2 linked regions of the Canis lupus familiaris genome follow. The protein of the gene in region 1 binds, or shares a complex with, the protein of each later gene. Links are inferred from orthologs where the notes say so. Each region holds a gene or a part of one and is shown on either strand. Other genes may lie near its edges.

Region 1 (15,181 bases):
GTCTGAGAGGCAGCAGCAGTTTCCAGTGATTTCCATACCCGGCCCCATGAGCCCTGGGAAACGAGGCCACCCCTCACCTGTGAAAGGGGGCTAATCAGAGTCCTTCCCACGCGAGGTTCTGAGGACAGATGGTGCATTTAGGGTTTAACACGCTGCCTGACGGTGAGGAGCTTTCGAGAATAAGCCCTCCTTTGAGGCAAAGGAAGCTCGATTGACTTGGGTACGTTTAAAGAGGTGCTGGGTCCCATGTAGGTCGGGGGGAGGAAACATAGGTGGGACCCTGCAGCCCCGGGGGCAAAACCCTGCAAGTGCGCTCACCCACGTCTGGGGGTGTGTGTGGTGCGGGCGCGTGTGCCATGCACCCCTACTCCACGCTGTGGGCAGGGGTGCAAACCGGCAGCCCTTGAGCATTCGCTCCGGAAGCCGCCAATCAGCCCCGCTGCCCCTGGACAAATCTGGCGCCAGGAACTCCTCCCACGCAGGTGAGCAGAGGCACAAGCTCAGGACCGCTGCTCGCTTTACATCAGCAGAGACAGGGAGCGACGGGAACTCCACTGTGACGGAGGCTTCGGTCATTCTGGTGTGGTGGCTACTGCGGTGCTTGCGGAGACCAGCTTCAGACAGAAAGTCATCGGTCCAGAGTCACCGGGATTGAACAGTAGCCAGGATTGGAAGCCACATCCTGCTGAACCCCAGGGCCTTGCTCCTAACCACCGCGGCACGTGGCTCCGGCCTGCGTGGGGAGGCCAGGGGCAACACTGCCTTCCTGCGGCCCCAAGAGGCCTGGCAGAACGCTGGGGAGGGAGGCTGGACAGACCTGGGACATTCCTAGGAATTAGCCTGACATCTCCGGCATCCCTGCTCGGTGGCCCAGGGCCCGCGGAACAGGGTGGGGAGGTTGTCCGCCTCGTGTGCAGCCTCGGGCAGGACGGAAGCGCCGCAGCCTGCCCCCCAGCCAGATCCCTCAGTACAGGGGTTCAAAAGTAGCGCCAGCTGCCAAATTCCATTTCCAGCAATGAAACTGTCCATGAACTCAAAGAGCCTTCCCACGGCAGCGCGCCAGCAATACGAGATAAAAATAAATGCCTAACGAAGTCGCTGGAAATAAGGGAAGCCCTAGAAACATCGCTGGAAAGCTGAAAAATAGGGCCCAGGTGCTGACACTGGCAACAAAAGGGTTCAGCCACTAGGACAGAGCCCACCCGCTGAGAACCACCTAATCTGGGCCTGGTGAGGGGCTCCTGGGACACCGGGGTGGGGGGGAAGCTGAGGCCAAATGCACCTGGAAGATTTGCCTGTAAAGCCGACTGTCCCCAGGAGGCCCCCCCAGAACCCCTGCGCCAGGTCCCCATCCCAAGTTGTAAAACACAAGAATCAATCATGGAGAGGAGTCAGGAGGCCCGCAAGCGTCAGGAACCAGGTGCCTGGCAGAGACCGTGGTAAGACCAGACGCTTAAAATGTGAAAGAAGGGGTCAAACCACAAGCAGATCTGCTCTGAAGAGGAAGCAGAGATGAGCCGAATGGAGAGCCGGGCCTGGGAGCCGAGCACTTCATGGGTTGGGGGGGGGGGGGGGGGGGGGGGGGGTGGGCACAGCTGAAGGCAGAACCGGAAGCCAGCTGGAGGGACGGCCGCCCACGCAGACACGCAGAGAGCACCATGGGCTGAGGACTAAGGAGCCAGCTCCAAGGGGCAGGGGAAGGTTCCCGGAGGGAGGGACCTGGGAGACCAGAGGACGGCCCGGGGTGATCCCGCACTGACAAGGGGGCTCTGGGACTCAGGGAGCAGGTGACAGACAATGCGAGCACCCAGGAGGTTCTGGCGACGGAGCCTGTTTATTGGGCAGGTGGGTGGGCGCCGCCCGTCACTCCTTGAGGGAGAAGTGCATCTTGTCGCTGATCATCTTGCGCTCGGGGTTGAGCCGCTTGAGGATCTGCGCGAGCACGTTCACGGTCTGCTCGCTGCTCAGCCCCGTCTTCTTGGTCTGGAACTTCTTCAGCAGGTCCTTGGTGGTCATGGGCTTCCGCGTCAGGTAGCGGCGCACCGCGTCCTCCGTCACCTGCACGTCTCTGTGGGGCCAAGCAGAGGGCGGCGTGGGCGGGCGTCCGCAGGCGGCCTCCCCACACCCCCGCCCCGCCCCTGCCATTCCCCCGCAACGTACCCGCTGCTGGGGGTCGACTTCCCCGACTGGGGCTGAGGGGTTGACTTCCCCGACAGGCTCTGGGGCCCCGGGTCCAGCCGCAGACGCTTGGCCACCGGCGTCTCATTGGTCCGCTTGCCTGGGGGAGCGGGAACAGGGCTGAGTCCTGTGCTCGAAGTGGGGGAGCCCAGGCGGAGGGGTGCCAGGATCCCAGTGCAGGGGGCCCAGGGGGCACACAGGCCTTGGCTCCCGAAGCAGAATGCGGGCCAAGGGTGGGAGAAGAGGAGGCAGCGAGGCTGGGTCCCGCTCACCCTGCTCCAGCTTGTTGGCGGCGGCCCGCAGGGTGGAGGACGTGCTGCCACTCTCCGCGCTCGGGCTGCCCGGCCGGCTGTTGCCCCGAGAGCTGCCTCCCGACGGCCTCCGCTCCCGCTTGGGGGGTGTCTTCTTCTTCTGTGGAGATGGGGTCCGGGACATGAGTCTACAGATAGCCCGTCGCCTGCCCCCTCCCGCCCCCGGGCCGGGCCATACCGCCATGAAGAGGGCCGAGGACGCCTCGCTGTCAATGTCGCTCTCCTCCGAGCTGTCCGACTCGTCGCTGCTGTCTGCTGGGGGCCAGAGGAGAGGTGTGGCTGCCGGGGTGCCCACCCGTGCCAGCCCCGCCTCGGGTAAGGGGCTAGGGGGTGGGGGGTGGGCTGGGATGCAGGGAGGGGACCCACCTTTCCTACGCTTCTTTTCCTGGGGCGTGGGCGCCTTCTTCTCCTCCTCCTCCTCCTTGTCCTCCTCGGGTGGCTTCTCCTCCTCGCTCTCCTCGCTGCTCTCGCTCTGCTCGTCTACGCCCTTGGGGCCCTCCTCCTGCTGGACGACCTTGGGCTTGCCCTCCAGCTCCTCCTGCGAGCTGCTAGAAGACAGAACGAGAGGGTGAGGGCCGGCCTGGGCCATCCTGGCCCCAACCCCTCGGCCGCCTCCTGCCTGCCTTACCTCGAGCCGTCCGACATGTAGTCCACCTCCTGGCCCTCGAAATCCCCATCGTCGCTGTCCTCGAAGGCCTCATCATCGGAGCCCTTCTTCTTTTTCTTCTTCTTGGTCCCCTTGGTGGGTGGTGCCTTCTTCTTGGCCTTGGGGGCTCTGCCCCCTGCGGAAGCAGAGGCGGGCTCAGGCTGGCGCTCATCCTATTTGGTGTATCCGAGGAGGTCCGCCTCGGCAGAAGCCCCCGAGGACCCACGTCTCCCAAGCAAACCCGACCAATGCAAGTCTACACCCCTGACTCCCTCTCTCCGGTTCTCACACTCAGGAACGCCACCTCCTTCCCTGCATCCCCCAGGACCGGGTACCGACAATCAGAAACCAGCCTGTGGCCAGAATTATTTGAATTGGCCAACCTGAAGCTGTTGCACCCTCTGCCCCTCCGCATTGCACATCCCGTGGGAGCCCCAATAAAGGCCACAGCTGAGACCTTCCTGTAGCTTTCTGCCTCCTACCAACTCAGGTGCTTGCCCAGTGGCCTGTGTAGCCTGCTGAGCCCTGCTCTCATTCCCAGGGGGCTGTGACTAAGCTTCAGTGGCACTAACCTCCCTGGGCCATCACTCAGACACCTTGACAAAGTACGACGCAAGCACAGATCACCAGGCTGTGCGGATCACCCAGTCACCCCGGGGGCTCCACCGGCCTCACCTTCCTCACCACTGGCCTCGCTGTCGTCAGACGACATCTCCAGGTCATCCTCCAGGTCGTGGATGCGCAGCTCACTGGCTTTCTTTCGGCTGCGCTTCTCCTTTTCCTCGTCTTCCTCCTCCTGATCCTGATCCTTGAGCCGTCGCTGCTGCATGATGCTGAAGTGGTTCAGGACTTTGTTTCTCCTGTGGGCAGGGGAATGGGATGCAGTGGGAGGTGACAAGGGGCCTAACTCCAGAAACCGGGCCTCCTAACTGCATCTACACCAGGCACTCCCCCAAAGGGGAACCATAGACACAACTTTGGTGATATGAGGGATGATCACAACCCTGGCAAGTAACACCCTGAAATTACATGCAGAGAGCTGAATTTCTTTGACTCCTTTCAGTCCTATGTCCCTCAAGGAGAAGCTCTCAGTGGTTTGGTATCCCAGCATCTCTCAAGCTCAAGGCCTTTCCCAGGCAACAACAGAATTTGGCCACAATGTATTTACATCCATGTGTTTTTATGGTAGTTTATGGGTGCCTTTGTTTTTATGACAAATAATACTGCTGTTTCCATTTACCGTGATGGTAAAAGTTTTTAAAGTTTTTAAAAATATGACTATCTAAAGAGAGTCTTAGGATTGTATCTAATAGCACAAGCAAAGTTCATCAGTGGCATGGGAAGGAGTAAAGCTCTTTGATACAAGAATGTGAGTGGACTTAACACTACTGATTAGTACACTTAGAGTTGACAAATTTTATTGTGTGTTTTTTAGTTATTTTTAATTATTTTTAATTAAAACATGGAATGAGGATCCCTGGGTGGCGCAGTGGTTTGGCGCCTGCCTTTGGCCCAGGGCGCGATCCTGGAGACCCGGGATCGAATCCCACATCGGGCTCCCGGTGCATGGAGCCTGCTTCTCCCTCTGCCTGTCTCTGCCTCTCTCTCTCTCTTTCTCTCTCTCTCTGTGACTATCATAAATAAATTAAAAAAAAAAATTAAAAAGAAAATTTAAAACATGGAATGAAATACTGATATATGCTACAACACAGATGAACCTTGAAGACCTGCTGAATGACATGCCAGTCACAAAAGGACCAATACTGCATGATCCCACTCGTATGAGGTCCCTTGAAGGGTCAACTCAGAGAAGGAAAGTGGAATGGTGGAAGCCAGGGTTGGAGAAAGGGGGCAAAGAATAACTTTCATGAGGACAGAGTTTCAGTTTGGGAAGATATGAAAGTTCTGGAGATGAATGGTGGTGAAGGTCGTACAACAATGTGAATGTACTTAATGCCACTGAACTGGATACTTAGAAAGGATGAAATGGCAAGCTTTTACATTACATACATTTTGCCTGTAGTTGATCCAGCCATAGCCCTCCTGCCTGGGGGATGCCAAGTGGGCCAGGGAGAGGCCCCTGCTCTGCCGATTCCTGCTCCATGACTCAGCTCACCTACCCCTCCCCAGCTCTCTCAGGGCCCTGTAGTCCCTGATGCTTGTGTCTGTCTCCCCCACTGAACTGGGAGCTCCCCCACGGCCTGGTGGAGTCTGGTTTGGTTACCACTGAGTACCCAGCTCCCTGCCAGGCAGAAAGCTATGATGATACACCCCACTTCCAAGTGTTTCAGCCCCCTTCTGGGAAGCTGGGAGAGGGCAGTGTCTCCCTTCAGAGGGTCCTGCCTCCCTCCAGGCCTGCCTGGGCTCACTCACCTCTCCCACTCCTCCTCGGCCTCTTCAGCAGTGAGTGTGCGATGTCGGGCCAGCGGCGTGAAGTTATACCAGTTGTGCACCGGGAAGGCCTCAAAGGCCCCGTCAGGGCACTGAGTGAAGATGTAGTAGGACGTGTTCTCTGTCACGCCTCCCTTCTTTATGCCCTTGAACCTGCAAAGAATCATGGTCACAGCCTGGCCCTCAGGACCAGCCCTCTGCCTGCCTGTGCCCCCTGGCCTGCCCCCTCTCCAGAACTATCTGGGTTCTCTGAGCAAAATCCAGGGGCACCTGGGTGGCTCAGTTGGCTAAGTGTCTGACTTTAGCTCAGGTCATGATGTCGGAGTCCTGGGATCCAACCCTAAGTCATTGGGCTCTGCCCTCAGCAGGGAGTCTGCTTGTCCTTCTCCCTCTGCCCCTCCCCCACACATGCTCTCTCTCAAATAAATAAAATCTTTAAAAAAAAAAAAAAAATCAAAAGTCAGGAGACCCTGGGCTGGCCCTTCAACTGTGTGAGCCTCAATTTCCATATCCGGAAAGCAGGGCCAGCACTCCCCACCCCTCTGCTCTGATCATTCTGAGAGCCCACTCAGGGCTCACTTCATTGTGTAAGTATCGTGGTCCTTTCCGAAAGGACCACGGTACATCAGCTGTGAAGCAAGGGCCCTGCAGTCAGACCCCCGCGGATTTGCCTCCAGGTTCCTCCTGCTAGCCTCCTCCTGACCTCTCCCCTCACCCTTCTCTGCCCTAAAAGTCTGGATAATCTTACAGAATGCTCTTTCCTGCCTACAACCTTCAAGGCTCCCCTGGGCCCTGGCCCCCCACAGTCCAGCTGCATCCTGGCATCCACTGTCTGGCACTACCCACCTGCCTTCTGTCACTGTCATGCCTGTGACAGTCCCTAGCGGTCTGCGGGCCATCTCATGCTTCTGTGCATGTGGTTCTGCCTGCCTGGAGTGCCCTCCATCCACCTGACTTCCCAATTCTCACAACCCCCAGTCTCTAGGTGGCCCCTTGCAGTGTGTGATCAGGGCAGGCTCTCAGGCTTCCCAAACCCTGGCCCCTAGAGCTCCCGTGTGAGCAGCAGCTTGGATCTTCAGAAATAAAACCCCATGAGAGACATGGAGGTTGCGACTGGACACCCAGTGGAGTTAGGACAGGAGGAGGATACGGGAGGCACTCACCGCTGCCACTACTTACTTTCTGCCCGATTTGCCATTGACGCGGAGCAGCCAGGGCTGGTCCTCTGGCCGGAACTCCTTGAGGACGATGCCATACTTCTTCCTCCGAGCCTCCTCACGAAGCTTGCGGTTGAACTCGCTGCCCGCACCAGACTCAGGCATCTCCTCCTCTTGGTAAATCTTCTTGTTGCTCAGGTCTCGCTCCAGCCGGGCCTGGGGCAACGGGGCAGGGTTGGGCAGGAAACAGACACTTTCAGCAGGGTGCCCGCCATTGCTCAAGCTATGCCTGCCCCCCCAAGGAACACCCTTGACCCCCGACCCAGGCTGAGCTGCAGACCTTCAGAGCCAACCTCCTGAACAAAAAAGGGACAGGACACTGCCTTTCTGTGCATCTGGGGGAAGGGTTGGGGGTAAGCTTTGTACTAGCTCTATTTTGCAGCCTTTCAGAGTTTGAAATTACTTCTAAATCAATAAAGAAAAAAATAGATCATTTTGGTGACAGGACAAAAGCAAAAACCATGAAAACAACCTGCTTGGAACTGGTCACTCCTCCTCTCTCTCTCTGCATTTAGACACCATTAAAGGCTGTTTTCCAATTCGGATCTCCAGGCAATTCAGCAGCAGTTAAGATATTTTAAGATGCACACAGTTCTTACCCTAGAGCTTCCTCCTCCAGACAGTGGAGGTGAAGTGCCATACACACACGTGCCCCCCCCCCCCCCCCCACACACACACACACACAGGGCTGTTTACTGCGCCACTGTCTGTTGCAGCAAAAGACTGGAAATGAACCTAATACACAGCAGCAGGGGACTGGCTTAATACAGGGGGCCGCCTCCACATAATGGAAGACCAAACACAGGCAAAAGTATGTAACAACTGCCAAAACATATTAACTGAAAAAGGCCAGATGACTGAGGTCACTCCCCATTATCAAGAGATTTCTGATGGCTGGGAACAAAAAGATCCTCCAAGCATCCGGAAGTGGGGGGAAAAGCAAAGTTTTATTGGCATGCACATGCCCAACCATTTACAGATTGCAATGCCTTTACTTGTGTAGAGGCGGGGTCGGAGGGCTGCTCCGGACACTGGCCAACAGGGCCAAGCATAATAATTAGCTGGTCTTTGAAGAAATAGTCTGCTGACCCCTGGTACAAAAGACAAGAATGAGAATGGTGGAAACCAAAAGCTAGAGTCCAACAGAAGAAACCTTCGAAATAGGAGAGAAAGTGGCTACCAAGCTAGCCTGGGCTCCCTGGTCATGCTCCCCAGCCTGAGGCTAGAAGAAAGGCACCCCCGGGATGGGAGAAATCAGTGTACTTCCCACAGCTCCTCTTCAGGGAGCCAGCCCAGGGGGTACCTCATTACAAAAGGGGAGTAAACAGGCCTGATTCCCTGAGGGTGGGCACCCCAAAGGGCAGGGCCCCTGCCTGGCTTGTTCACCATTAGCCTGGGGGGTGCTCTCCAGGGACAGCTGCTGGAAAGAACGCATTTGGAAGGGGTTTCTGCCCACACGTTGTTCATGGGTGAGGAGCAGCTACTGGGGGAAGCGATGTCTCTTGTGGTTATAAGTGCTTAGGTGCTAGACCTGCCCCCTCCTTGGGGTAATGAGTGACAACCCAGCAGGTTCATCTCTTCCCCAGAGAATGCAATCCCCTCCTAAGTGTGCCACTTAGGCAAGGAGAATTCTGGGGGCTGTATCTCTCTGTGACTAGGTTATAGAGGGCATGACCTCTGGGTGGTAAAAACAAGGAGTGATGTCCCCCCCATGATGATCAGGGAACAGGGTGTCACCCTCAAGTTACTAGTGGCTGGGAGGTCACACATCTCAAAAGGTGATAACTACTCAGGTGCTGCATGTCAAGGTGATGGGTGACGAGGGGCAGGTTCCTCTGGTTTCTTGTGGATGAGGGAAAAGGGGCTCTCCCACTCAATGAGGGATGGCGGTAGTATGTTAGTATGTTCCCAAGGTATTTACCAAGTTATTCCTCTTAGTGAGGGGTGTTTAAAGCTGGGACCCCCTGATGTGTGGGTATCTCCCTCTTGGATGATCAGTGATAAAGAATGCCCCACCCCACCCCCACCCCCAGAGTGATCAGGGATTTGGAAACACTCCACCTTCTCTGGGTAATTTAGGTGAGACCAGAGGTTGGGGGAGCATGTTAGTTTGTATATGAATGTGCATACGGCTGGAGATGCTGGGGGGCAGGCAGCCTACAAGGGAAGAGGGTGCCCTGAGCAAGCATCCACCTGCCCAATATCCAGAGGGACTAACGTCTCTTTCAAATAGCCTCACTTGCTCAACTAGATGAAGGGATGTTTAAAAACAGTCAAAAGACAGACCGGTGCTGAAAACAGGATGAGCAGCAGGAGCTGCCTGAAGCTGCCAACTTTAGACCTGGGCCAACTCCTGTGCTGGGCTGGTCCAGTCTCTGTGGCTTCAAATGCTGCCCCCAATGCCCAGATGCTCCCTCCCAGTCTCCCAACTCAGATGCTCCACTGCTTATTTACTGTCTCCTCCTGGGTGTCTGATATAAGATGTTGAGAACTGAACTCCCAATACTCTGTCCATCCGGCCCTGTCACCCGTCAACATCCAATCATTAACAAATCATGTTGGCTCCACTTTAAAACACACTAGAATCCACTGACTTCTCACAACCGCTGTTTGCTCCATGCCCAGTCGTCACTCACCTGGACCACCGCCGACGCCTCCACCCTGCAACACCCTTTGTCTGCCCCTGATCCTATAGCACCCAGATCAGTTTATAACTCCCCTGTTTAGAACCCTTTAAAGGTTTCTGCTATAGACTGAATGTTTGTGTTTTTTTTTTTTTTTTTTTTTTTTTTTTTTTTTTTAAATTTTTTTTTTATTTATTTATGATAGGCACACAGTGAGAGAGAGAGAGGCAGAGACACAGGCAGAGGGAGAAGCAGGCTCCATGCACCGGGAGCCCGATGTGGGATTCGATCCCGGGTCTCCAGGATCGCGCCCTGGGCCAAAGGCAGGCGCCAAACCGCTGCGCCACCCAGGGATCCCTGAATGTTTGTGTTTTATCCCAAAATGCATATGATGAAACCTAACTCCCGGTGTGATGGTATGGGGAGGTGGGGCCTTGAGAAGGGGATTAGGTCCGAAGGGTGGAGTCCTGGTGAATGAGATGAGTGCCCTCTTAAGAGCTCTCTCACCCCCTCTGCCACGTGAGGACACAGTAAAAAGACAGACATCTACGAACCAGGAGGCAGGCCTTCACCAGACCAAACATCTGCTGGCGCCTTGCTCTCAGACCTCCTAGCCTTCAGAACCGTGAGAAATAAATATGTGTTGTTTAAAAGCCACCCGGTCTGCGGTATTCTGCTGTAGCAGCACCCATGGACAGAGCTTCCAAAAACCATCTGCAGGCTGCAGCCCCCTCGGCCTTGCCCAGATGACTCTAGGCTGGAAATGCCCGTCAGGGGGCACAACTTCTAAATGCCATCCTTTCATGAGGCCTCCTGTGGGGCCTGCCCAATCTTCCTCACAGGGATCCCTAGCAGCTCAGCCTGGGCCTCAGTACATCGTCTTATCCCCACTCGGGGAGCGGGGTCGAAGCCAAGCCTTAGTTTTACCACTGTAACTAAGCGCCTATTGCAGGATCAGGTTCTTACGCTCACTCCCAACGGGGACTTACCTGATTCCAGGTAGCAAAGTTGACTTTGTCAGCAGCATTGAAGGCCATGATGTTGTATTTTTTCGTTGTGTTTCTGGGGTGGGCAAAAAGAGGGCTGCTCTCAGTTCACCGTTCATTTAACAAACCCTCCCTTGGCTCAGCAACGCTGGGGACCCACAGAAGCCCTCAGGGGTTCCCGGTCTCTCCCGACCCCTCTGCTGAAGAAGAGCAGGAGGGGAGGCATAAAGGTCGGGGGACGGGGGGTGCCCAAGGTGTGGGAATAATGGAGACCTCTGTCCTGGGGGCGGGGGCGGGGGAGGGCAGGCAGGGCATGTTTCCCAGAGGAGGAAGATCGTGGGGCTGGGTTTTATAGGACCGACAGGAGTCACAACGCCAGGGAAAAGGCCTTCCTGCCGAGAGAAGGCTAGGCCAGGGGGCTGCATCCGACGTACCGCCCACTAATGGGCTCATTCATTCATTCCGTTGCAAACACGGGATGCACCTCGCTCAACCCCAGCCCTGGGCCCAGGTCCCTGCTCCTCGGGAGGCGGCATCACCGGCGGCGCCAGGCTGGCCTGGGAGCTCAGGAAGCGGGGAGAGGGCTGCGGGACTTACTTGGGAACTCGGACGACATACTCGGTGACGTTCTGGCTGCTGGGGCCCTGCGGGCAGAGAAGGAGGGGCGGTGGGTGAGTGGGGGGCTGCAGAGGCGGCGCGCCGCGACCCCCGAGCTCCCCCGTGTACTCACGAGGGCCGCCATGGTGACGGTCGGGGGTTCGGGTCCGCTGCGGCCCGCGCCCCTCAGTCCCGGGGAAGCCGCCCGCGCGCCGTCGGGTCTCTGGCCCGGATCGAGGGGGCCGCTACCCAGAAGTCGGTCTTCTCGGGGAACCGCTCCGGCCGCGTCTGCGCCTGCGCCTAACCTGGACGTGACACTCGGGCCGCGGCGCGACGGCAACCTCCTCCGCGTCACCTAGCTCCCCGAGTCCCGCGGAGCGGACGGCCCAGACCGACCCCGACGCGGAAGACACCCCGGCTGCGGCGGAAGCCGCGTCGCGCCTCTCTATAAAGCGCGACTGATTTAATCAGCCTGTGGCCACGCCTCCTCGTGACATCACATCCGGGGGCCGCGGGGCGTCCTGGGAGAGGAGGGAGGAACCTAGCCTCCCTCGCGAGCTCTCGGGCGCCTCGCGCATGCGCCACTGCACTCCGGAAGTGAGTCGGAGGAGGCCGCGTCACCATAGCGACCGGGGCCTCTTAGTCCGCGCCGAGCTGTTGGGGCGCCGCCAGCTGCGCCCCTTTGGGTTCATTTCCTCCTTCTGCCCCGGGGAGACCTCATCGTCTCGCCAAGTGATCGGGCCCTTGTGACGTAGAGCCGAGCCAGGAGGAGGAGTCAGGGCCCGGGTGGGGATGGGGCGCGACCACCCCAGGGCCGCTGGTGGGATGGGTCTGTGCAAGTCCAAGCTGCCCGAGGTGGGCAGGCCCCTGCGACCCCAGGAGAAGGGTAACGTCGCAGGGGCGGCTGGCTCACGGGGCGGGGGGGAGGAAGGAGGCCGTGAAGGGCACGAGGGAGGTGCAGGTACCCCACACCCCAGGCCGGTGTGCACACGCCCCGCCCCCCACCCACCGAGCTGCACGTGCTCGAGGATCAGCCGCGCTTTGATCCGCTTGGGCACCTGCTGCGCGGGGTTCTGGGCACTCCACGGCGAGTATGTCACACTAGCTGTCCGGCCTCCAGGAGATGACAGTGTAGACAGGGAAGGAGACAGTCTCAGAAAAATGGGATCGGCGAGCAGGAGGGAGCAGGGCTGCCACGGGGAGAGAGGAGCCGGCTCTGCGGCCCCCAGGAGAGGGGAGGTTTAAAGTTTACGTTGGGCCCTGTGGGATGCCTGGGAATTCACTAAGCCAAGCGGGAGGGAAGCAAGACACGGAAATTGCATTATCGACTACTGCGCTGCCTTAGAGACGCCTGGTAGCCACGCACCTTCGTTTGCTCATCACCCGCTACCGCACGTCAGGGACCGTGGCAACTGGTAGAAACCCGGGGACCAGCAAGACAGAACTGGTCCTTGCCCTCCCGGAGCACAGAGTGTGGCTGGGGAGACGGACAAGAACAAGGAAACAGGCAAAATCCTAGCTGACCGTGGCTGCTGCAGTGGAGGAAATGTGGCCCTGGGACGGGATGATGCGGGGGGAGGTCGGGAGGGGAAGCCTGATGGGCGGGCGGGTGGGCTGTGTCCTGAAGGCGGCGGAGCAGGGACTTGGCGTGCAGGGGGAGCAGCGGGAGAGGGATGAGTTTGGCAAGTTCAAGGGACAGAAGAGGCCAGGGGGGCTGGACCAGAGGGAAGGAGGAGGAGGGCGTTGTGGGATGGCCCAGAGGGGGCGCAAGTCTGAGCCTGTTTCCTCAGCTGTCAAACGGGACAATCGAGTCATTGAGGTTTTCAAGGAGATGCTGTGTGCAGAGGGCATGGCCTGCTCGCAGTCTGCATCCTCTTCGCAGCCCCCCAAACCCGCCCCTGTAGCAGCGCTAACCCGTGCCCTGTGTGGATATACCACTGGGCATGGATGCACACCCCCAGATGCCACCCTAGGGCAAAAATGGGTAATGCCAGGAGACCCGTGTCCCGCGTCACTCACCCGAGGACACACACTAGGCTGTGGACACAGACACATCGGTGCGTGCTGGCCCCTGCAGGCACCAAACCCTCTCCCCACCTCTTCCCTGGGCCCCCACAGACATCCTCAAGTCTCCCCTGATCATCTTCGTGATGGGCGGCCCAGGTTGTGGCAAAGGGACACAGTGCAAGAACATGGCGACCAAATACGGCTTCCGCCACGTGGGGCTGGGCCAGCTGCTGCGGCAGGAGGCCCGACGCAGCACCCAGCGGGGCCGGAAGATCTATGACATCATGCTGCAGGGGCTCCTGGTGCCCACGGTGAGAGCTCACAGGCACCGGGGCAGGGGGAAGAAGGGGGTACGTCAGGATGGGCTTCCCTGGAAGCAGAGAGGCCCAGAAGGCCGCCACTCCCACTGCTTTGCTGCCCTGAGCCTCCGTGTCCCCACCTGTCAAAGTGGAAGAGCAGCTGGACTCCCAGCAGGAGTCCGTAGTGAGGGTTGGCTGACCTCATTGCCATAAAGCATGTGGCAAAGTGCCTGCAACTTAACGAGTGCTCCGTAAAGTCAGTAGTTATTACCCTCGTGACCTTGGGCATATGTCACTGGCCCCTTCTGTACCTGTTTCCTCCCCTGTAAAAGGAAGGTCCCCCCCCGTACCTACCTGTAGGACGGTAGCGATGAGTAAATGAGACCTCGCAAGCCTGGCACACAGTAGTCGCTCTGCCCGGTAGACCGGCTCGGCGCAGCAGAGCAGCCTCGGCATCCTGGGCGCTGGGCAGGGCAGGTGCTCCCCTGGACTCACCTGAAGTCCAGACCCAGGAAGCGCACTTGACAAGGTAGCCATGTAGGTGAGGGACCCCCGGGGCACCAAACCCGCCACCCCTTTCCTTCCCAGGGCATCATCCTAGACCTGATCAGCAGCACCATGCTGTCTCACCCAGAGAGCCGAGGCTTCCTCATTGACGGCTTCCCACGGGGGCTGAAGCAGGCCAAGGAGTTTGAGCGCCTTGTGAGTGACCCCAGGGTGTGCAAGCGTGCGGTGAGGCGTGAAGCCGCTCCCCCCCTCCCTGCCTTGAATGGAGATCAGAAGGAGTGAGACTTGGGGGAGAGGAGATGGCAAGGGGGGAAATGGGGTTTTATATTTTCAAGGGACAGTCGGGAGGGAGATGGTTGGAAGCTTCTAGAACCTGGGTAGGTAGCTGGGGAGCTGGCTGGGACAAAGTCCTATTAATATCTTCCTGCACATCAATTATTTGCCCACTGAAGAGCACGTGGGGTTAGTATCATCTCTGGGCCATTGACATGGAGTCTAGTTATCCGTTCATTTATTTATTCAACCACCTGTCCCCAGATCTTTCGAGAACAGGCTCTGTCCTTAGGATTCATGAGACCGACTCAGTCCCTGCTCTTAGGATGCCAGGCGCTGACCTATACGTGACTCGCTGGACAAAACAGACATTTCAGGTCGCGGTGAATGCAGTAAGGAGGAGACAGAACGACATCCTGGAGGGACACAAGTGGGCTGTTCGGGGTGCGGGCCCAGGTGGCCTCCCCGAAGCCAGGACATTGGACAGTTGAGCTGTGCCAAGGAGGAGCCAGCTGCGTTTCTTCAGGTTCCTTCTGCATGCCAGTAGCGCTGACTTCGTGAAAAGGCCCATCCGCCCCCTTGAGCAGCCATAAGACTGGAACGTCTGGAAATGGCCAAGCGGGAGAAGAGGCAACCTGTGGCAGGTTGTCAGCCTCCAGACTGTTCTGGAACTTGCTGGAATCGGTTGAAATGCCTTCGGAGAAGTGCAGGTGGGGATCCAACAGAGGTGGCCCAGGGCTGGGGCAGGGCAGCTGGATGGCGCAGCTTCCCTTGAAAACCGCCTGGCTTGGCAACGCAGGGCCTGCATGTCCCCATGGCAACAGCAGCATGAATGCATCTTGAGCTTTTTACTGAGCCCAGCGCTGTTCTCGACCCTACTCGGATGAGCTCTGATCTTTCGGAACATTCCAGAGAAACGTTTCTTGCACTGTCACCATCCTGCTTTTTTTACAGAGGGATCGGGCAACTTGCCCTGGGTCACACAAGTTAGGTGGCGGGCAGAGGCCTTCCTTAGGCCCCAGGACAGTTCCGAGGCCTAGATTCTGACCACGTCAGTGGGGGGCCCCTCTCCGCCTCACGGTGGTCCCCCCTTTACCCACGGAGGGTTGCCTTCCGTCATGGAGGCCGAGAACCATCTGCCAGCT
Region 2 (15,765 bases), on another chromosome or scaffold:
CTTCCTGTTTCCTCTCTAGCAGCTGCTCCCCAGAACAGCAGGCAGCATATCCTCTGCCTTTTGGGAGGCCCCACCCCAAGATGGCTCAGATGTGTGTCCCCAGGCCTCCCTCCAGGATTTCCCACTCCTCCCCCAGAGATGACCCTGCCCTTCTCTGCTCGTTTATGAGGCCAGGAGGGGTGGTGGGCTCGGATGCCAGGCTGGGGTTGTGTGGGTGCTCTCCTGAGGGCCATGGGAACTGGTTGCTTGAGTGATGAAGGCCCTGATGAGTTCCGATGGGAAAGCCCAGGGGCTGGGGGCTGCTAGCACAGGTTCAGTTTCCTCAGGTTGGGGGCTTCTCGGGGACATGAATCTGTCAGACACAGGGCTTCTCCCTGTCCCATTTGTATCTCACCGTATCAGATGATGGCAGGAGTGGGGAGGGGCCGGGAGGTGGGGAAGGTAAAGGTAGGTGAGAAAATTATTCATAAGGGAAGAGGCACAGGGCCTGGTCCGGCGGGTGCTACTTTCCAGGCCTGAGGACTGCTGGGAGTCCAGACACTTTTCCGAAGCTCAGATCTCCCAGGACCACTGGGAACCCTCGAGAGGCCAGGCATTTGGTCACTATCTGTCTGGCTGAGGTCACTCACAGAGCTGGGTCCCCTGTGCCAGCCCCTGGTGCTGCAGATGCGGAGACTAAGGCCCAGGACTAGGGCGTGGAGTGGTTCTAGCTCGGACCCTGAGTCTCCTTGTTCTGGCCCACTCCAGAAAAGTGCCCTCATCAAGCTAGCCAATATCCGGGCAGCAGAGAAGGTGGAGGAGAAGAGCTTTGGCAGCTCACACGTCATGCAGGTCATCTACGAGGATGACGCAGGCAAGCCCCAGACCATCTACCTGCAGTGCAAGGTGGGGACCATATGGAGGACACTCAAGGGGAGGGGTGCTGTGAGACTAGCCGCCTGGTGTGGGAGTGAGTCAGGCCCAGCAGAGTGTGAGATCTGATGTGAGTGCACAGTGTGTGTGTGTGTGTCCTGGGCTCTGGGGACCTGTGCCCATGGTGTTCCCTGGGCCCGTCTAGACGCCCACATGTAGGTCTCTGTGTAGTCCAGTGTACGGATATGTACGTTCCTGTGATTCCAAGCTTTGCACATTGTACGTTTGTGGGAAACTGGATTTCTGAGTATCTGTGTTGGTGCCTATGTGTTTGTGGTGCGCGTCAACGCATATTAATCACCTGTTTACACAAGCATGTGGCTTTGAGTACATGCTCTCAAATTCTTCTCTTTAGGTATTAACTCATTCATTCATCTAAGACTTGTTTGTGGCGCCCCTGCAAGGCTCCCGGCGCTGTTCTTGGGGGTGGGATACAGCGTCAGAGGACAAAGCCTTGCCTTTATGGAGCTTGTCCCTCAGGAGACGGATGCTAAGTGAATATGTAAAATGTCACATGGTGACAGTGCCTTGGAGGACACAAGGGGAGAGGGAAGGGACACAGTCGTGTTTAGTAGTGTTTAGTGTTTAGGGGCATGCTACTCTCCCCGAAGGGCGAGCAAGAGGGCCTCTGACAGGTGGCCTTTGAGCTGGGACATTGTGAAGGAGAGAACGTCTAGGGGAAGGATACAGGGAGTAAGAAGGAAGGCTGGAGTCAGAGGGGGTCTGGCTTGTCCCTGAGAGTGACTGTCCAGAGCCACAGGGGAAAATGGTGACAGTGAGGCCACCACATCTGGTTAGCAGGTCATACACTGCCCAGGGGATGGCTGAAGTAGGCCCACTCTGTTCATCGGCCCATGTGCCTGGGAGCTCCAGGAAGGGAGGGAGGGCTTCCTGGAGGGGGTGGCCTCAACCCTCCCACCTACCCTCCCGGCATTCCATGCAGTGTGTGAACGAGCTGAACCAGTGGCTGTCTGCGCTACGGAAGATGAGCATCAGCAACCCTGGCCTGCTGGGCTCCTACCACCCCGGCATCTTCCGCGGGGACAAGTGGAGCTGCTGCCACCAGAAGGACAAGTCAGGTGAGAGAGGAGGCCTGTACCCCCTGACACTGCATCTGTCCACAACTGGCTCCAGGGTCCTAGCTGGGACTGGGGCCTTTGAGCCCTGGCTTGTTGGCCTGGCTGGGGAGCCACCTGTGCACCTGCGGGGACTAATCGGGGGCCGGCTAGTCCCTGCGGGTGCTCCGGGTGGGAAGGGTTCTGTGACAGGGTAGTTTGGGAGATGGTGTGTGGTGTGTGTGACACACATGGGCACGTTGAAGACCCTGCAGAGGCCTGAAAATGAGTTGGAATACCGTCTCTGATGCCATGTAATCCAGCACTCGGAACTCACGGGGAGTTAGGGGAACCCTTTCTTGCCCAGTGAGGGAGGTTCTGGCAAAACCAGTGTTCCAAGAACACACTTCAGGAACTCCTTGCTAAGGAGGGCACATGAGGGCTCCTGAGTTTGCCAGTGCACACCTGGCAGCCTGATACCGAAGCTGCGGGTGGGGGGACTCCAGGCACCAGAGGGATGGCCCATATGAGCTTCTGCTAGAACTTTCCGTGATAGCGGCAGTGGTATGTATCCGTACTGCCCAGTACTGCACTTGTGCTTGTCACGAACATGTGTGGTTAGGCTTGAACCATGGCCAGTGTGGCCCAGGAACTGAATTTTAAGTTTGTTTTAATTTTATGTAGTTTTAATTAATTTAAAATCAAATGGCCTCCTGTGGCTAGGTGGCTACCCTATGGGACAGCTGAGTTCTGGAACTGTTAAGATCTTCCTTCCCTTAACCTCGGTCTGCTTTACAAAATTATTGTTCCCCATTCACAGAAGAGACTCAGCCCCTGGAGCCTGTGGCCTCTGGGCAGGGCCCAGCCTCAGCCCCTGGAGCCTGGCTCGGGGAGGCCCTGGGAAGCTGCCCCGCCTGCTCCAGACCACCCCTGGGTCTGGGAGGGGGCAGTGGCAGCTCTTTACACGGGCATCACTGGTTGGTTGGCCTGACTTGCAGCCCCTGCTCTGACCTTGGTGGTGATAAATCCTGTCACTGGGGAGGGGGGCTCCCCATGGCGCTAGGAGGCATAGGGCCTGGTAGCCCATTTTATGGAGGAGGAAACTGAGGCTAAATGGGCTGATGCCTCTGCCAAGGTTGTAAAACCAACGAGTGACAGGGCCAGCTCCTTCCAGGGCACAAACCCCTCAGCTTCCATCCCCATGCCACTCCCTTCTTCCTTCCAGGCAACCAAACATCCAGAAAGTTGTCCAGCCCCCTGACTTGTGTCTTGTGTGGCTTCCGTGCTCTGCAGTCATGTATCCTTGGCCCTGGGCTCAGGAGTAGACCCGAGAGGGATGAGCTGCTGCCCTCCTGGGGCCCCTGAGGCCGTTCTTGTTCCCCTTTAGCCTCTTGTGTCCCCACCTGCACTATCACCAGGTTGGATGTAAGCTCTCCCAGGGCCTGCCCATGACTCTGCCCTCTCTGTGCCCCCAGATCTGGGCTGTGACAAGACTCGGTCACGTGTGACCCTACAGGAGTGGAATGACCCTCTGGATCATGACCTGGAGGCCCAGCTCATCTACCGGCACCTGCTGGGTGTGGAGGCTATGCTGAGGTGAGGAGGCCTATAGAGCCCCAGGGAATGTGGCCAGCGAGGACCGGGGTGAGGGACAGGGCCAGGGCCAGGGTGAGGGCTCAGGACTGGTCCTTGTGGTCGCTCTTTCCACTGCACATCAGGCCGGCCCCTGCCCTGCCTGCCTGGGACAGCTACACCCGCGGAGGGGCACATGGGCCTCTGTAAGCTCTCCCTCTGTCCTGCCCGGGCCCACCCAGCCTCCCAGCCCGTCCGGCCTTCCCGTTGTGCCCTTGGACCACAGAGCTTGTCCTCAACCCTGGCTCTAGCTCAGAAATGATCAGAATGCCTGGGCCCTACCACACCAACTCAGAGTTTCTGGAAGTGGAGTCCAGCATGGGGATATCTCCAGGCAACCCACTGCTTCCTAAGAGCGCTGTTTCCCTGAGCCTGCTGGAAGGGGGCAGTTTTCTAGCCCAACCCTGGTCCCGGCAGGGCCCAGGACGGGTGGTGGTGGTTGTCCGTGTTCCTCATCGACTTTTCCAGGGTTTAATCTTTCTCAAAACCCTTCAAAGCTCATGGGGTCAAACTGGAACCACTCATTCCCCTGTGAGCCACAGTTTCCGGTAGCTTTCAGGTCATTCTGCAGCCACCTCCTTTTTTGATAGTGTGGCCCCCTTGCTTGGTGACTTCATCCTCCACCTACGGGATGAAGCCACCACCCTGTCTTCTCTGTTCCTGGGACCCACAGTTGTCCTCCATTTAAGCCAGGAAGCGGCAGAGCAAAAACTCGAACCTGAGCCACCTTGGGTTTAGGTGGGCCCCAGCACGGGACCGGTGCCCATGGGCCTCACCGTAGCACCCTGCCTTGAGAGCCTCCCCACCTCTAGAACCACCCTTTCCATTCCACACCGCCAGACCTCCTGCCCCATTGGCACCTCTGATTCCGACTCAGGGGTCTGTCCTTACTCCCCGTCGTAACTGATCACTGCACACTTGTGTTGGGAACAACACTGATGTATTCTCTTGCAGTTTGTGTTGAATAAGCAAATGAGCAGAGCGGTTAAGGGACCAGGCCGACCCCACGGGGCCTAGAAGGCATTTGAGGAGGAGGAGCCTGTTAGATCTTAGCAGAGGGACACATCTCCTCCAAAACAAACCGTGGGAGACTCAGAAGGGCCAAGCCAGTGCAGTCCCTAAGCAAGGAACTTCAGGCATGAGGTCCACATGGCTGCTCACTCTTCCTCCATGTGAGCTCCTGGGACTGTGCCTGAGGACCAGGGATCTCTGGTGAACCCCGCTTAGGACTCGTGCTTAAGTTGTCACCGTCTCCTCTTCCTATAAGAAAGAGACTCCCTCCACGGCCAGTTAATATGGGGGATTTTCAGGCCCCAACTGGCCCCTTTCCCCAGGGCCCTCCAAAACAGAAGTGACGTTCCAGAGTGCCTTCCATCGACCCACCGCTGGAGGTGGGGAGGACCAGTGGGGGCTGGAGAGGGAAGGTGCTAGGGGGCCAGAGGACCAAGGCCTGGGCCCCTGTTTTTCTTCCCCACAGAAAGTGTCAGCCCCCCACTCCTGGGATCCTCTCCAGCTCGGGAGGCCTGCAATGGGTCACCCAGCCTTCCTGGCAAGGGCACCACGAGCTCTCATTCGGTCCTCCCCTACAGGGAGAAGCAGCGGGAGCTGAGTGCAGCAGGCACAGAGGCAGGCTCTGCACTTAGGGGCTCAGGGGAAGGTAGGTCCTCCTAGCTGGACTCCCACACTGGCCTAAGTTCCACTCAGGGGTGCTGTGGGTGGGGCCCAGACTGGTGCTGGTGGGTGAGGCCCTGCCTGCTCTGCCCTCATCTGGCATCTGCCTCCAGCCCCCAAGGATCCACTGGCCCAGCTGTTCCAGGTGCTGCAGGACCTCCGGGAGGCCCACAGATCCAGCCCAGCCAGCGTACCGCCCTCGGAGACAAACCGCCTGCTGGAGCTGCAGACGTGAGGCCTGCCCCACATGCCCTCACTGAACCCCCTGCCAGGTGCTCGGAGACCCCCCCCCTGGTGCGCTTTCAGCTCTTCACATCACTCCGTCTCACTGGGGAGCGGGGCTTAGGGCTCTCCTGGGCTGGGTGGATTGGGGGCCAGAGGCCCGTCCTTGCCCACCTGTAGTCTCTAGGGGACTTTGTGAGCTCCTTCTCCTCTATGAAGCCTGGCTGTTCCTCGCAGCCCTTGCAGCCATCGCTGGCACCACCCCACTCTCTCCAGGGGCCCTCTCCTACCCCGGCAGACCTAGCCAGAAACCAACCCTAAGATGGCCCTTGACCAGGTGGACTGATACTCCTTGGACTCACAGAGGTGGGAGGGAACATGGGGCCCACCCAGGAGACCAAGCCTTGACCTCAGCATCCCCTCAGCTCCTGGCCATCACATCACCTGCTCCCCTCCAGCCACTGGCTGGGCCCCCCCGGGAGAGCTTTGCGGTGCTGTTGCTGACAATAAACCTGCTGTGACTGCTTGGGCTCTGGGGTCTTGTGATGGGGGTCAGTAGAGGGACTGGGCTTGGTGTGGATTCCAGTGGCTTCTTGAGTGTGGCCAAGGACCGGAGCCACCAGAATAACCTTCGTGCATCCCCTCTGTTCACCCCCCCACACATCCTGGGAGGACTTGTTTCTTCCCCCAACTGCTGTTCCCACCATACTCCTGGGACCCCTGCTCCATCCCCCCCCAGGCTACAGAGCCTGAACAGTGCCTCACCTTTCCTTCCTGCCCCCAGGTGGCTGAGCCTGCACCCCCCCTCCGCCATCACCAACACCCTGTTCTCTGGCTCCTTCCTTAGGACCTCACACAAATCCTCATGCTTTTTGAATCTCGGTGGGTTTCCAGGACCTTGTGGTCCGGAAGTACAGAGCCCAGGGTCCACTGCACCCTAATGAGAGTGAAGGGGAAAGTAGTGTGCACTACTTATGGGGCTGCCACAGGTAGAAGCCTGGGTTTGAACTGCATACATAGCCCCCCAGTGGTGTCACCGCCCACCCTCTCTTCCAGGAGGGTCCTGGATGGGGTGGCTGCTGCAGCCTGTAGGGGTGACAGTGAAGCAGGGCCTGGCACTGTCCCCACGGCTCATGTACCCCCACACCTCTAGGTTCTGTCAGGCGGGAGTGAGGCCCCTTTGGGGTAAAAACTATACCCCTTCTCTCCACCCCCAGCCAGCCAAGTGGCATCCTAGCTTTGCCCGGATGGCCCAGAAGGGTCGCGGCTACGCCCCTGTGCATCATCCCCTCATGCCTTCTGTTCCTCACCAGTTAAAGCCCCCCCCGTGGAGTCCAGGCTGGTGTGGGCCTCTGGCCAATGGCACCTCCTCACCCCAGGGCCCAAGCTTAAGCAAGGAATAGCCCTTCCCAGGAAATGGAGGCTCCTGGTTTCCCGGGCAGGTCCCCGGCGGCTCCTCAGATGCTGCGGCTACTGGAGCCGACGGGAGACCCAGCTCCTTGCCTCAAACAGCGCAGGTGGGGTCCGTCCACACAACTGCGGTCGGCAAAATAGCAACCAGCAGTGCCAACGCACTCCTCTCGGCCGCCAACCGCCTCCGCCGCCGGGCCGTCTGCCTGGCAAGCAGCTCATCGGCCCCAAGCCCGCTCCGCAAAGGGGCGACCACGCGGGGGAAGGTGGGGGTCGCGGCCGGCGGCCTTCTGGTCCTAGGACCTGACGCCTCCTGCCGGCCCGCACTGCGCCCTGGCTCCATTCTCCACTCGAGGGCCTCGCGCTGGGCCCTCCAAGCGCATTTGCAAAGAAGGATCTTGAGGGGGGGGGCGGCCCCCGGGGCCGCCAACGCCCCCGCCAACGCCTCACGCATGCGCAGAGCCACCAGCGCCTCGGTCCTCCCGGGCTCCTCTCGCCTGCGCTACATCCCCCGGGCCTCCAGGGGGCGAGCGGCCGGCCTCCCCACGGGGGCCGTAACCCGGAAGCAGCCGCTAACCCGGAAGAGGTGGCGTCGTAGAGGGTCCTGCAGGCGTCGGGGGCGGCCCTGCGGCTTCGGCTGCGAGTGCGGCGCTAGGATGAACGCCCCTCCCGCCTTTGAGTCGTTCTTGCTCTTCGAGGGCGAAAAGAAGTAAGTGGAGCTGGCGGGGGCGAGCCTGGGGTCCGTCCAGTAGCGGGAGACGGAAGCCTCTGTGTCCGCCAGATTCGAGCCAGCCCTGCCGGGCGGTGGCGACCGACCCCCTTCCGCAGATGCGGAAACTGAAGCTCAGAGAGCCAAGGAGCTGCCCCGGCCCTCGGGGAGTGGCGGTGTGCGTGGCGCCAGAGTGCTTCCCCCCGGGATCCGGCAGCCCCCTCGCTCGCGTGCCTGGCCGCCGCCTCCTGCGGCTGCAGCGGGGTCCGGCTCTCAGGCTCTCGTCCCGCCTTCGCTGGCCTCCGGAGAACCTCCAGCGGCTTCTTGCCCGCGGGGTGCAGGCGGTGTAGTCTTGCTGTCTCTCAGCCTGGGCTTGGCTCCTGGCTCCCCCACTTAACGTCTCCGTGTCTTTGGGCAGGTGGCTTAGCCTGCCTGAGGCCTGCTTTCCTCATCTGGAAAATGGGCTTCTTGCTCTGTTAAATCACAGGATTTTCTCAAAGGGGAGCTTGAGATGATTTACGGGAAGTGCTTAGGCCAAGGCTCAGCACACAAAAGACTGTCTTAAACGTCGGCTTTTCCTTCTCTTAACAGCCTGGTGTGCGGGGCTCTATGTCTAGCCCTTGCCAGCCACTTCGTCTCCCTTGGGAGCAGTGGTTGGCAACTAGGGGCTATTTTGCTCCCCAGGGGACTTTTGGCAACGTCTGCAGACACTTTCGTCACATAGGGGCTGCTGCTGGCAGCTAGTGAATAGAGACCAGGGATACTGCTCATATCCTGCAATGTACAAGACCACCCCCTGCGGGAAAGAATGATCCACCCTAAGATGTCACTGGTGCCAAGGAGCAATCCAGAGTAGGTGAGGGTCCCGCAGAATCGGGGCATAGCCACTCTGCTGCTCTGAGTCAGAGGTCTTTATGGATGAAGAGATGGAGGAAGGCTTCGAGGTGGAAGTGGGGCTTAAGCCTGAGTTAAAGGGCAGGATTTATCCTGGGGGGAGGAGGAGAGCCCCGTTTCCCATCTGTTGCTACCACCTCTTCCTAGGATTACCATTAACAAGGACACCAAGGTACCCAATGCCTGTTTGTTTACCATCAACAAAGAAGACCACACACTAGGAAACATCATCAAATCGTAAGTTCCGAGTCAGAGGCTCTCAGGCAACGTTTAATGGGGCTCTTTGAGGCAAAGCACACGTCCCAGATTTCCCGAAGTCTCTCTGAGCTGCCGGAAGGTCTGGGTGCTTGTTCTGGCAATTCACACGTTTCAGTACGTTTTCCCCAAAATGCTGCTGCCCTGGATCTGTTCCCACAGCTGTATTTCTGTACTGGTTCATTTATCCGATGAAAGGAAGTGAACGTGTGGCAAAGCCAGAGAAACCTAGGCCGACTTGCCAGAGATTGGAACTTATTAGAATGAGGGGAGAAGGTGGGGGAGAGGCTCTGTGATTATCCGATGCTCATGTTGGTTAGCAGGTGTGTAAGTACATTAGCGAGGTCCTGGCCAGGTAAGTGGTCAGTGATGTGGTTGCTGTTTGGGCTCAAGGGCTTTTGTCAGAAAAGCACCATGGGTGAATCTAGGTCTTTCCGAGGGTCATGTGTTTGAGACCACTGGGCAGGAGCCCACCTCACCTCTGGGCTGAAAGTAGGAGGTGGGGCTGGCTCTCTCCAGTCTGGCTGGCCCCACCCTGAGCCATGCCGGTGCTGCTCCCAGGCCCTTCTGCTCCCCTACTCTGGGAGGCATGTCCCCACCTGTGCAAGAGCCTTCCCTCTTGGTGCCTGCTGCTGACTGAGCTGCTCCAGAGAATCCCCCGCGGGCCCAGGGCAGAGCATGGCATGCACACTTCACCTCACAGCCAGGCACAACGGGTCCCAGGTGTGTGGGCAGCAGCGTTGACCAAAGGGCTTCCGTTTCACTAAGCACTCAGAGCCTGAGCCTTTCCTGCTGTGCCAGACGCTCTTACTGGGCCAGAACCAGCACATTGTGTTCTGGTTACTGAGCACTGGCTGCCTGGGGAGGGCTCTTTGGTGCTGTTGCAGGCCCCCGACTTCCCCTGAGGGAAGTTTGCTGGAAATCCTCTTTACCAGCTGGGGTCCTGGATCCTCATGGATGTAGGGGTGGGGGGAGGAGGGAGGTGTCCTCATGAGGCAGATGTTCCAGATGTTTTACTTGGAGATATCTTTGGGAAATCAAGAGCAGGAAAGCAGCTGGAGTCAGCCATCTCCTCCCTGCCCCACCCCCCTCGCTTCTAGGCCTCAAGCCAGTGGGAAGGCTCCTTGGTTAGAGGCCTGGTGGTCCCAGGTGCTAGGCCCAGCCCCCATGTCACACTGCCCATTTCCTGATCTCAGACAGCTGCTGAAGGACCCCCAGGTGCTGTTTGCTGGCTACAAAGTCCCCCACCCCCTGGAGCACAAGATCATCATTCGAGTGCAGACCACACCAGACTACAGCCCCCAGGAGGCCTTCACCAACGCCATCACAGACCTCATCAGCGAGCTGTCCCTGCTGGAAGAGCGATTCCGGGTGAGGAGCCGGGCGGCGAGGGGTGTTTGCATGCTAGCCAGTATGGCCAGAGCTGTTCTGATGCCCACACCGACAACCCCTGGGTAGTTTCCGGATTTATTGTGGGGTGGGGGCACGTGGTGACTGAGCAGCAGTGCCACTACAGCCTTGAACGAGCTTGGACTAAGGGGTTTTAACAGAGTTGAGGTCGGGGGCCTGCTATCTGCAGGCATGGGTGGGAACTGTACTGAGTGCTCCAGGGTCTCCTTGGGACTGCTCCCCCAAGCCTTCTCTGGTTAAGGCCTGGCTGCTTCCAGGTATCTATCTGTACATGGGGCAGCTCATCCCAGGCAGGGTGGGGTCCCACAGTTGAGGCCGAAAGGGGATGGTCCCACCTGTCCACGCAGAGGGCCTTAAAGTCTGACTTGGGTGTCAAGTGGGAAAGATCCACAGCTTCTCAGGCAGATGGGTGGGGTGTGCTCAGAAGGCCCTGGGGTTGCTGACAGGACAGCAGGGCCCGGGCAGACCTCGGGTCACTGGGGCTGCTTTCCCACTAAGCAGCTGCCCCCTCCCTCTCCGCTCAGGTGGCTATTAAAGACAAGCAAGAAGGCATCGAATAGTGGGCTGGAGGAGTCTTGTTTGGCTGGTTCCTACCCTGCACTGGAACCTTCTCCGGGCTTCCAGTAGAGGCGAGCAGCTTCCCTGGCTTCAGGGACATCTTGTTGAGCTCCTCCCCCCAGAGTTGGTGTGTCCTGTACACGGAGTGTTTTACCTTCCTAATAAAGACCTGGCTATGGGAAGCAGTGGACCTGCTCAGTTTCACAGCGGACAGGCCCTGGGCCCCCGACTCCTAGACCGACAACCTGGAGCCTGGGAGGGCAGGGGTGGCCTGAGAGGCATGCTTTAGGAGTCTGTTCAGAGCTCAAGGTAGGAACACCAGGGGAGCCACAAACAGCTCTCCAGCCTTCCCTCAGACAGCAGAGAGTTTATTAATAAAATATATTCACTGATGAAAAGATTCTCGTCCTTAGCCCCAAAGCTGAATAAGTTAAGTCATGTCCCTGGTGCTCTGCCGCAGAGGCAGGAACCCCACTCTGGCTACTGTCTCTTCCAGATGGCCACGATATTGGAGTCCGTCAGGGCGGTGAGGTAGGTAAAGGTGGGGTTGGCCACCACCGTGTTCACCATGGTCTTGGTCACCATCTGGCCGAGCGCCCAGGGTTGGGGCCACTTAAGAATCTGGGGTGGCAAGAAGAAAGGAGAGCTGGGTTCTGGCGTTCCACACACGGTCCCCAGCAGTGGGAGAGGGCAGGCAGGTGGCACCTACCTGTGTGGGGGCCTGCGGAGCTGCTGGCCGTGGAGGCGGCTGGGTCAGGATGTGCCTGACGTCGTAAACCCACACGTTGCCCTCTTCATCTCCACACAGCACTATCCCCTCATCTGCTAGGACACATGGACAGAGGTCAAAGGTGGGGTGGGGCTCCCAGGGGTGGGGGGCGGGATTGGGGGGGAGGTGCGTGGGCTCACCGGGACAGGTGCTCAGTGAGAAGTAGGCCAGCTTGGTGGGGGACCACTGCAGCCGAGCCAAGACCACCACTGCCAGAGTGGACTGCTTGCCTCGGCCCATCCAGGTCTGGCTCCAGCTCCACAGGCAGATGGTACCCAGGCTGTTCCCCTTGGAGGCTGTGGGAGGGAGAACAGAGAACTGGGTGGGGGGCCCCCCTAGATGTTTCCTGGTGCACAGTAGGGACCACTCGGGAGCCCCTGGTCCTAAAACCCAGCCCAGGGAGCAGTAGCCCACAGAGGCCTTACCAGGGCCTACCTGGGCTCCCGGGAGGCCAGGCTGTTCCCCCCCCTAGGGTGGGGCTTACTCACCCACGACATCCTCATTCACAAATGCCAGCCCATCCACTCTCCGCCCGGCTGCCTCCGCACCCTCGGAAAACACAAACTCCACCTCACACACCCTGCAGGGCAGAAGACGAGGTGGTCAGTTGCCTCGTGCATGCTGGGCAAGTGGCTGCTGCACGTCCCCACATGGAGAAGTGTGTGGGGTCATGTTGTGTCTGGAAAGGCCACCCAGCAGTGGCCCACAGTCCTAGAGATGCCGCCCAGAGCCACAAAAGCTGGCCAAGTACCTAGAGGAGGAGAAGCAGGCACAGCTGAGGCTTGGACTCCTCCCCAAGGCTTGGAGACCAGACAGACCTGGGGACGGGGCACGGGGCTTCACTCTCAGGTGGGGTATGGGCCGGCACAGGCACTTGCCTGGGCAAAAGCCACCAGCTGGCCCAATGCTTCTGTTACTTGGCTCCACAGAGCAGCTGCTTCACTGCCGTTACCTCCCCCCCCACCCGCGCCCCACCCGAAGTTCTTCCCAGACTACTCACGGCACTGAGGACAAAATTCAGTCTTACCAGAGCCAGTGTCCCCTGCTCCAAGCAACCCTGCCACCTCATCCTGTCCTCTCCACTTCCCAGGCTGGGCTGAACCTCCCTGGTCAGCCCACTCTCCCGCCCCTTGCACAGGCCGCCACCCTAGGCCTGCACCTTCTTGCTCTCTGCTGCCCCAACTCCCTTGCTAGGCTCACGTGGAGAAGGCGAGCCTGAGGACCCACCTCACCTCACAGTTCTCTCAACTCTTTCCTTCATACTTGACGTTACAATTCGTGGGGTTTTAATGGGCCACCTTTTTTAAACACCTACCTCTGCCAGAAGGCTGTGGGCCCCACGAGGGCAGGGATGCCATGCCGAGCATGGTCTCCCACCTTCTAGTGGTACAGATAAACCTTTCCAGGCTTCGTGTCTGCCCAGGCACTACCTCCCCACCGCCCAGGTGAGGTGACCACAGCTGGGAGAACCGACCCAGCCCAGTCCCACAGCCAAGCAAGCACTAGAGGGAGGAACAGGGCATGAGACTAGAGGAGATGGGGACAGGCCAGCCTCTTGAAGAGGCCCCTGAAAATGGCCTTTGGCTGCCTAGAATAGGGCATGGCTTGGGCATCACCCATGGCAGATGTGCTTGGGGTCAGACATCTGGACTAGCTGCTGCTTAGCACCCAGACTTGGCTTTTGAGGCCTCACCTCCTCTTCTGCGGCTGGTCCAGCCGCACGTCCCAGCAGCAGCAGCCACCCTCACAGCCAGCCAGCAAGTAGGTGTCCGGACAGGAAGCCACAGGGCAGAGGCGCAGGGGGATGGATGCGGTATCAAGTGTGAGCAGCTGGCTGTCGGCAGGGGAGGAGAGGATGCGGCCACGGACCCAGGTGTCTGCCCTAGCAGCCCCCCTGCCCTGCCCCACGGCCTCACCTGGCCTGGAATTCGTAATCGTGGTTGGGCACCCCGAGGTCCCAGAGGATGATCCGCTTGTCATAGGAGGCGGCTGAGGAGGGGATGGGAAGGGGCTCTGAAGAGGCCCTACTCCCACCTAGGCTGAGACCGTGGTCGCAAGGCTGGCCCTTCCAAGGAGGGCAGGGCCACAGCTGGGAGACCCAAGACTCATAGGCCACCCATCCCTACCTCACCACGCCCCATGCCAGGCAGCCATCTTTTTGCAGGTCTCTGCTCACATACCCCTTCTCGGGCTTACCACACTTGGTGGGGTGGGTAAGGGGGCCAGGATCTGAAGCCTGATCTGTTGTCTCCAATGCCATGCTGCTTCTACCATGGCCAGAGTGGACCTTGGTGGCCTGGTGTGAAGGCCACCAGCCCCAGGACCTCCCTGGCATCCCAGGGAGGGCATACTGAGGTGTCAGGCTGCAGGACAGGGTGTTGGGAATGTCTCAGGTGTGCGGGAGAGGGTCTTACTGAAGAGATGGGTCTCGTGGGTGGGGCTGAAGCAGAGGGTGGCAATGGCCTTCTTGTGGGCCCGGATGACCCCACAGCAGAAGCCAGCTCGCACGTGCAGCAGCCGAACCAGGCCCCGAAGGCCTGCAGCCGCCAACACACTCCAGCGCTTCTTGTGGCCTGCCTGCGTGACCACAGTCAGGGCTGTCCAGGCCACTGAAAAGAACTCCTATGGGGGCAGGGGGCACGGGCGTCACCAAGGGGCCGAGTCTGGACCCCCAACCTTAGCACTGTGCCCCCGGCTGTGCAGGAGCCAGGCCCCAGCACTCACCTCGCCAGGCGCCTTGTACTTGTGCAGCACGATGCCTGTCTGGCAGTCTATCACACACACGGCCTCCCCGCCACACGTGGCCACCGTCTGAGACGTGGCCCCCGCCTGCCCTGTGTTGAAGATCAGCCCAATAAAAACATTCTGTGAAGTCTGCCCCTGCAGCTCCTTCTTCCTGTCCTTACAACACCTTGTAGGCGGTCTCTCCCAGGTCCCCCATTCACTGAGCCCCTGACCCCTGCAGGTAGCATTCCCAGGCGCCCAGTCTAGATAGCTCGTTCTGCTCCTTCCCCGTGGTCTTGCCCTGCCCTGCCTGCCCACCAAAGACATACCCTCCTCCCAGGCTGGCTCAAAGGCGCAGGCCCAGAGCTGCGTCTCCAGGTCCCGAGGGCTGTTGTTCTTGCTGTGACATTGTAGAAAGTGCAGGGGCTCCAGGGTGGGCTGTGGGGGAGGGGGGCAGTGGGGGGTCACAGCTGCCCCAGGCCTTGCTCCCTGCCCCCTTGCTAGCTTACCTGGCTGCCATCAGAGCCCTCGACGTGGGCCGACGAGGAAGAGGTACACACCCGCTTGTTGGGAGACAGGCTGAGTGGGGTGTCATCCGGCCGTTTCAAGGCCACGGGCTTGGCCTATGGAAGGTCAGGGCTGGCCTGAGGGCCTAGGGACCACGGGCCCATCTGCCCAGGGCTTGCGTCCTCGGCATTATAGGCTGGGCTGCACCCTCCCATGGGGGGAGAAAACAAGACATGGCCCAGGGTCAGTGCAAAAGAGCTCAGGCATCAGAGGCCATCTCCTGGGCTTGTTTCCAGGACCCCATTCCCCCTTTCCTTACAGTCTCCTTAGGCAGGAAAGGCCGAGGCAGGCCTTGTGGGCGCCATGGGACCACGCTTACCCTGGGCTCCCGGGCAGCTGTGGCTTTTGGAGGTCTCTCTGGGACGTCTGCCTCCCGCACCTGGATCCCACCAGAGGCCACCAGCTCCTCAGAGATCATCCGCACCTACGTGGGGCCAAGAGAGCAGGACGCTGGGTATGGACCTAGGGGCCCCGGCCCCTCTGGATGCCCAGGGCAGAGGGAGCCCTGGCTTCCAGAGTAAGCTGCCTTCCCTGACCCACCCCACTTTCCACCACCCCTCAGGGCCAGAGACCTCTAGGGCAGCTGAAGGCATGGAAGCCATTGAGGAGTGGGGAGAACCGACTCCCAGCATAGCAGGGTGAGGTCATACCCGCCACTGGGTGAACTCGCTGAGGGACTCAGGCCCATAGCGGACGTCCCTGACAGCAGACCTCACAAAGTCGGCCTGGGCCTTCTCTGCCTCCTCTGGGCTCAGTGCAGCCTTGAACTTCTCCCAGTGAGCTGTGACCTGGTACAAGAGGGACCAGATTCAAGCCCAGTCCACCCCAGATGTCTCGGACCCTCTGTGGCACCCCTGACTCCAATCTTATGGCCACAGATGACTCCACCGCATCCTGGAAGCCTCCATGAGCCACAGCTGTCTTGGTGGCAGCGTGCACAAACCTAAACCACGCCCACATGAGAGAAACTGCCCCGA

The links.
Region 2: GTF2F1 (region 1) and POLR2J share a complex: the UniProt entries of both Homo sapiens proteins name them as parts of the TBP-based Pol II pre-initiation complex. The link is inferred for Canis lupus familiaris from reciprocal best matches to the Homo sapiens genes GTF2F1 and POLR2J.

Annotation. Positions count from the first base shown.
Region 1 is NC_049241.1:54,166,093-54,181,273, reverse strand, and holds GTF2F1 (general transcription factor IIF subunit 1), read right to left. Parts: upstream 11,559-15,181; 5' UTR 11,096-11,558; coding exon 11,084-11,095; intron 10,998-11,083; coding exon 10,951-10,997; intron 10,430-10,950; coding exon 10,357-10,429; intron 6,900-10,356; coding exon 6,706-6,899; intron 5,680-6,705; coding exon 5,509-5,679; intron 3,996-5,508; coding exon 3,811-3,995; intron 3,272-3,810; coding exon 3,118-3,271; intron 3,038-3,117; coding exon 2,856-3,037; intron 2,745-2,855; coding exon 2,668-2,744; intron 2,590-2,667; coding exon 2,451-2,589; intron 2,279-2,450; coding exon 2,161-2,278; intron 2,069-2,160; coding exon 1,864-2,068; 3' UTR 1,816-1,863; downstream 1-1,815. Other genes in the region: adenylate kinase isoenzyme 1-like, read left to right, coding at 11,743-11,836, 13,069-13,268, 13,845-13,988. UniProt on the Homo sapiens protein: TFIIF is a general transcription initiation factor that binds to RNA polymerase II and helps to recruit it to the initiation complex in collaboration with TFIIB. It promotes transcription elongation.
Region 2 is NC_049227.1:7,615,434-7,631,198, forward strand, and holds POLR2J (DNA-directed RNA polymerase II subunit RPB11-a), read left to right. Parts: upstream 1-7,453; 5' UTR 7,454-7,558; coding exon 7,559-7,611; intron 7,612-8,652; coding exon 8,653-8,742; intron 8,743-9,956; coding exon 9,957-10,131; intron 10,132-10,694; coding exon 10,695-10,730; 3' UTR 10,731-10,910; downstream 10,911-15,765. Other genes in the region: RASA4B (ras GTPase-activating protein 4B), read left to right, coding at 748-885, 1,856-1,991, 3,443-3,563, 5,384-5,672; LRWD1 (leucine-rich repeat and WD repeat-containing protein 1), read right to left, coding at 11,209-11,349, 11,438-11,550, 11,638-11,793, 11,986-12,077, 13,191-13,331, 13,414-13,486, 13,912-14,119, 14,222-14,331 and 4 more. UniProt on the Homo sapiens protein: Core component of RNA polymerase II (Pol II), a DNA-dependent RNA polymerase which synthesizes mRNA precursors and many functional non-coding RNAs using the four ribonucleoside triphosphates as substrates.